Linked DNA regions of Danio rerio. The protein of the gene in region 1 interacts with the protein of each later gene in a biochemical or structural test. Links are inferred from orthologs where the notes say so. Each region holds a gene or a part of one and is shown on either strand. Other genes may lie near its edges.

Evidence for each region.
Region 2: of the proteins of h2ax (region 1) and ppm1da, one has a biochemical effect on the other in vitro, tested with the Homo sapiens proteins (3 studies listed by BioGRID and IntAct). The link is inferred for Danio rerio from reciprocal best matches to the Homo sapiens genes H2AX and PPM1D.

Annotation. Positions count from the first base shown.
Region 1 is NC_133180.1:31,151,416-31,154,363, forward strand, and holds h2ax (histone H2AX), read right to left. Parts: upstream 1,251-2,948; 5' UTR 1,208-1,250; coding exon 779-1,207; 3' UTR 634-778; downstream 1-633. UniProt on the Homo sapiens protein: Variant histone H2A which replaces conventional H2A in a subset of nucleosomes. Nucleosomes wrap and compact DNA into chromatin, limiting DNA accessibility to the cellular machineries which require DNA as a template.
Region 2 is NC_133190.1:29,433,901-29,437,916, forward strand, and holds the end of ppm1da (protein phosphatase, Mg2+/Mn2+ dependent, 1Da), read left to right. Parts: intron 1-54; coding exon 55-236; intron 237-323; coding exon 324-554; intron 555-2,076; coding exon 2,077-2,445; 3' UTR 2,446-3,203; downstream 3,204-4,016. UniProt on the Homo sapiens protein: Involved in the negative regulation of p53 expression. Required for the relief of p53-dependent checkpoint mediated cell cycle arrest.

The DNA.
Region 1 (2,948 bases):
CATCAGAGCTTTTTTTCATCTTTAGCTTTTACGTAAACGGAGTAAAAAAAAATGTGTCAAAGTATCCCACATTTCCTTTTATCACTGGAAGAATATTCATGTAATAATCAAAGTACTGAGGTGCTAAGATTTTATGGGTGTTTTAGCACCATGTAAGATTTTTACTGGCAAAATTAGCTGTCTAAGTTCGTGTTAATATTTTATATTTATGTAGCAAGTTGTAAAGTGCCTTCCAAATGTGAAATTGACCAGCTATACTATAGCAATTACTTGGCCAGCAACATTGTGTTGTCAAATCAACATGAGAATGAATTAAAAAATGTGTTATAAATAATAAAGTATATCAACAACCCCCTGATGAGTTCTTTGGTTTTTTGCTGACACTGGAAAACAAGACTCACACTATCGTTCACTCATACATAAAGACTTTTTACATTATGAAAAAGACCAGAGAATTACTTTGCCTTACCTTGTGTTTATGAAAACCTAGTTTCCGTTTTCCAAATTAACTCGTATAAATTAATTATGAGAAAAAAAAAATGTACCGTTAAGAAATAAACACTGAAGTAACGTAAATTCTTAAATTGTGATAACAGTTAGCCTAAATCGGTTCAAAAAACACCAACATTAACATTATTAAAAAATGACAATTTAATAAGCAAAGCATGCATCTCAAAAATACAAGCTATATCACATTCAGACACATGGAAATTGCTCTTTTCAGAAGAGTTGGGTGGCCCTTAAAAGGGCCTTTGGATGAATTAGCTCAGTTCAACATTTAATACTCTTGTGACTGGGAAGATCCCTTCTTTCCAGATTTGCCGGAGCTGGCTGCAGCCTGGCCAGTCTTCTTGGGCAGGAGCACGGCCTGGATGTTGGGCAGAACACCGCCCTGTGCGATGGTCACTCCGCCGAGCAGTTTGTTCAGCTCCTCGTCGTTACGGACGGCCAACTGGAGATGGCGAGGGATGATACGAGTCTTCTTGTTGTCTCTTGCGGCGTTTCCCGCCAACTCGAGGATCTCAGCAGTCAGGTACTCGAGCACGGCGGCCAGATACACGGGGGCACCGGCGCCCACTCGCTCAGCATAGTTGCCTTTACGAAGGAGACGGTGAACACGGCCGACGGGGAACTGAAGACCGGCGCGGGAGCTGCGAGTCTTAGCCTTAGCGCGGGCTTTTCCTCCGGTTTTACCTCTTCCAGACATGTTGAATGGCTTACTTAACTCTTCGCGTGTGCAAGAAATCAGTACATTGGCAGTGAAACTGCTGCAGTATTTAAAGACTGGTTGAACGTTCAAAGCATAGTCCCGCCCACACATTTGATTGGTTGCGCGAAGGGAAGTACAGACCTGATTGGTTGTCGGTGGTGAAACCAGAGCGGATGTAATCCCCCATTGGCTTGAACTTGCAGTGCATAAACAGCGCAAAGTAACGAACCAATCAGAGTGTATCTGAATATGCGAGAGCTGATTGATTCGCTTGGTTCGTCTGCGCTAGTATTGGTCTTTCTTTACCTCAATCACATTTCGGCGGTAAGTTCAAACCAATTGAACATATTCCCTCTGAATTTTAACACAGTTTGACGCAAAACCAATTTTTTCATTTGTTTAACCCTCTCATGTACACTTATTGTGACGTAATATTTTATAGATTTAATTCACTCAATGTAAATGTCTTTAAAATGTGATTTGTATGCGATTTCTTTAAAATGCACAATGAATTAAATCACTTTGTCGTGATGTGACACTAAAGTGATTCAGTGTGCATTTTAGATAAATTCACTTTTAGCTGATTAATAATGGGAAATAAGAAAGGAGGAATGGTTTTTCAAAAATAATTTATTCAGAATAAATTAAACATCAAATGAACAACAATATAAAGCTCCGAATACCTCAGAAGGCCCAGCAGCAGCACCTTCACTTCAGATTGTTCGCTGTCATCACAACATTTTGCTCATACATTTTTCAGGCTTTATGCTCCAAAATGACTATAAAGCGCTGAGCCATTGACTCGTGACCTGCAATTCACTGTATAATTGCTAAAATGCTTTCCTGTAGCTATTATTTTGGTTAGAACACCCTTGCCTTTATTATAAGTTCAGGTTATTTGGAATGAAAAACAAAAGTCTGAGAATTGCATTGAGTCGTATGGGTGGGGAACCCCAGCAGACTATTTTTTAGTTTAATAGGCGTCTAATAGACATCTAAACATAAACAGCTTGGATTAGTCAAAACTACACTAGTCGTCAGATAGACAGACTTTATATATGTAGTCATTAATTTCTGTTTATTTGATGACTAGTCTAGTTTTGGCCTATTTTAGACGTCTACTGGAGTTTCACTGACAGCCCTTTATTTAGCCATGAGGACTGTTTAGACGTCTATTAGACATCTTAAAAAGGGAAGATACTGCGAGAGATTCTTTAAAGGGACAGTTCATCAAAATGATATTTGATTGGGGGTTTCAATCCTGTTTCGTGCAACATGAAGAGTTTAATGCAGATAACCAGCTTCAGTTACCACAGCATCTTTATATCCATCAAATGAAAATGAATGGTGACCACGTTGAGTAGGAGGTTTGAGTATGAACTACTCCTATATTTGACCTTACATTACCAGAAAACAACAAAGCCTCCTGCTTAGTATTACAATAAAAAGCTACCACTAATAAAATCTACTTTATGTATTTGACGTGCAAAAGACCTTTATTGCAGCTCACTTTAAATAAACGCGGTTGTGTGTTACTGGGGCAGCGCCTGTTCGGTTTAAAAAGCCATCTCTGAAAAAAATAAAGCGATGAAACTTATTATACCTTTTATATTAGCCCCTGAGGTTTCACGTGGACCCTGAAAATAGCACTTTCCCACTGCAGATCCAGCCTGATGCATCTCACGAGGTTGTAGATTTACAATAATTCCTGGAATAATTTATAAATATGCACAAATGC
Region 2 (4,016 bases), on another chromosome or scaffold:
TATATGTTTTTAGCATACACATTTAGATATTTAATGCACTAAATGTGTCTTTAGGTGATTTGTGGAGTTATGACTTCTACAGTGGAGAGTTTGTAGTATCCCCAGAGCCTGATACTGCTGTTATCAAGCTGGATTTGAAGCAGCACCGCTACATTATCTTAGGCAGTGATGGGTTATGGAACATGGTATCACCGCAGGAGGCTGTGTCTATTTGTCAGGACAATGATGAGGCCAAGGTGAGTCGTTTAACCTGATATTTTAGGCCAATGTCATTGGTGTTTACTTTTAGAAGCATTCACTTACATGAATGCCTATTCCAACAGGCGAAGAACCAAAAGGGAAATGTTTCAAATGCTGTTCTGCTTGTGAACCATGCCTTATTGAGATGGCGTCAGCGCATGCTCCGTGCTGATAATACCAGTGCCATTGTTATCTCTTTGGAGTCATTTGGGACATCCAGCGAGTGTTTGCCACCTTATGAGACCGTGTACAATCTTCAAGGAACAAAATGTGGCGCTGTTTCTAAACCTTGCACCAACTCTTTGCAGACTCAGGTTAGGAATGTTTTAATCTTTTTTCTTTTGTAATGGATTATATTGTGGTTTTAAATTATTTGTGTGTTCACAGTTGTTTGCTTGGTCTGGACAATAAAAGAAAATATTTTTTAAAGACTAAACCTAAAGTAATGAAACAAAAAAAGTATTGTATGACAAATATTTGGACATTACTGAACATTCAAAACAGCTAAATATGCTTGTTGTTAGTTATGGGTCGTTCTTGAACAAATCCTTTGTATGACTTGAGAACGATGAGTCCTCCCAGGGAGGGATTCGTTCATTTGAGCATGCACACATCTGTGCAGGTAGAGTAAAAGATTAGCTATGTTTTCAAGTCTTCTTTTATTAAATTATGAGGTTAAAAGAAAATGTCTGCTTCTAACGTTATGGAAACCTGTACATGGGTACAACACGATGAAATAAATGAAGTGATGTTTTGCTTAGTTTGCCGTCACTTTTAAGTCAGCCACCTTTTGTTTTGCAATAAAATACCTGGACATTTTCCACAGGCTATATTTTACTGCTAAATATTTTAACGTTTGAAATTTAAATTCTAGATTTACATACATTATTTTGTGACAAATTATGTCATATATGTGGCAAAGAAATAGCAATTAACTTTATTTCTTTTTTTTTTTTTTTGGTGGGGCCAGTGAAAATTTTGGCAGGGCAAGTAAAAATCTGAACCACTGGTCCAGTCAAGCCAATAGGAAAAATCCTTACCGTTGAACCCTGTAAATGATTATTTTCTAGTTTTCTAGTTATGACCTGTTTGTAGTGTGATCAATGTTTGTTGTAGTTGTAGATGAGTTTGGAAGCAACTCGCAACATTTTAATAATATTTTGACAAATTAAACAAAATGACTCAAAAAGATTCGTTCAACTCACTGAACGACACTCAAAGGTCCGAGTCAGTAAAATGATCCGAACTTTTCATCTCCACCTGATGTTTGTGTAAAAACATGCTATTTTTATGTGCTGAGAACACATAATGAGCTTATTATAACTTATTTTTAACTTTAAACTATTACATCTAACTTTTAAATTGTATAATTATTATAAAATAAGTAAAGGAGTCACAACTGTACTATAAATTAATTTACAAGGAGATTGCATCTTCAACTCCTGTACTAAACTGTTATGGGTAATGCAGCTGATTTATCTGTCCATTGTTTGCTTCTTGTGATTTCAAGATTTTTTTTAACTCATTTTTTTTTATTTATTTAAAATGTCATTGATTTGTTGCATTCATAGTTCTATTAAATAGCACCTGAGTTCATTAGGGAAAGGATTGAGAGTGAGACCCATCTTTTTTTTTTTAAGTCTCTTTATGCCTGTTCAGTGCATGCCAGAGCTCTAATGGCTTAACACTTTTTTTTTTTTTTTTTCAAATGCAGTGTCCATACAGGGCATTTTCAAGCAGGGTTGTTTTAATCAAACCAACTCAATCTGAACACACCCTAAAAACAACAACACGCTTAAACTTTACTTTCAATAATGGTTTTTCCTTCTTTTTTAGGTTCCTGATGCTCCAGTACAGCCCATCCTGGAACAAAAAAATAACAGCTCTGGTGCAAGCATAATATTTGAATCTTCTGACAGCCTTACAAACTCTGAGGACCTGCCCTGTAATGACTTGCTGGAAAATGGGGCCAGTTGTGACCGAACACCGACTGGCAAACGGGTGCTCGAGGATTTCTCCTCCTCTCCTGTGGGGAAGAAGCCCCGTAGTAGTTTGACCCAGTCCTCTCTTAAAGAGTCCTCTTGTACATCCTTGCAAATACCAAGTACAGAGCCCTCGGCCAGGAACAATGGTGATGGAAGTGGTCAGTCTGAAAACGCCCAAGTGTTGCTTCAGCATGGGAAGACTACTGTATGTGTTTGCTGACATTTGTGCTGCTGTTACAATGCAATCCATTCATTCATGCTGGACGGTCAGACTCTGATATTCATATAGTTTATATAAGCTATCGAGAAACCAAATCCTGAAACAAGTAACAATGTCAAAAGAAAAAAAAAATCACCCGCTTCCATTCACAACACTCCAGCTTTAGTGTGTTTTGTGTTATACTTTATATTTTACAGACCATTGAAAATGAAAATGTGAGATTTTGTCTGATTTTAAATGAGTTTTAATTTTTACACCTTTGTATGTCCACTGCTCACTTCTATTACGCTTCGGGTCAGTCAGGTAGAGATGATGGGTCAACTAGGGATATTTGCACTTTACTTTGGATTTGTGCTGCCTGGAGAACTGTGGGGGAAAATGACCAAAAAAGAAATTATCTTCTGAGAAGATATCTCTCTGCAGCTAACATGTCACCTGTTTCAAAAATAGTTTTTGGGATCAATGCTATTGGTTGTATTTGTACATGGTTTTAATTGACAAGGAGAACGGTAAATCATTTGTAGTGTTCACTGATATCTTAACCCTGTGTCATAAGGTTTAATATTAATGTAGAATGTGAGCATGAACTTTATGAATTATGCATTTTAAACAGTTATTTTAATGTTTCCACGGATTTCATTAACATTGTTTTTGTCTCTCTGATGGGAGTAAGTGTCATTCTAAACTGAAGGTGCTGCTATGCTAAACAGGTCAATAAAAAAAAAAAAACGTTTTCGTCAATAAAAACATAGGATGTATTGAAGATATGAAATATCTGTTCCCATGTTTACATCTGAGTTTTTTTTATATTATTCATTTAAATCATTAAAAGTAATTCTTTAATGTGGACAACCATTAAGTCAGGGGTGCCCAAACTGTTTCATATAAAGGTCCAAAAATCAAATCTCATTTGTTAGCCGTAGGCTGAAAATAAATATACCAAACCATTTTACATTAAAGTTGCCAAGGGTAATTTCCTAATTTGTTTAATTTTTTTTATATTATAAAAAAATAAATAGAAAAAAATACTTTGAATTGTTTTAACTAACACAGTATAACTTTTCATTCATCATTCAATTTTTAACGCTTTTCTATGGGCGGGTTGCGGGGGCAGCAGTCAGAGAACCCCTGACTTCCCTCTGCCTAGACACTTCCTCCAGCTCCTCCGGGGGGATCCTGAGGCGTTCCCAGGCTGGCCAAGAGACATAGTCCCTCCAGCTGTCCTGGGTCTTCCCTGAGGCCTTCTTCCGGTGGGACATGCCTGGAACCCCTCCCAAGGTTGGTGTCAATAGGAATCCGAAACAGATACCCGAGCCACCTCAGCTGACTTTTCTCAATGTGGAAGAACAGTGGCTCTACTCCGAGCTCCTCACCCTATCTCTAAGAGTGTGCCCGCTTGTATCCGAGATCTTGTCCTTTCGATTATGACTCAAAGCTCATGACCATAGGTGAGAATAGGAATGTAGATTGACTGGTAAATTGAAAGCTTTGCTTTTAAGCTTAGCTCCTTTTCTTACCACAACCAACCGGTACATTGACTGCATTACTGCTGCCGCTGCACCAATCCGCTG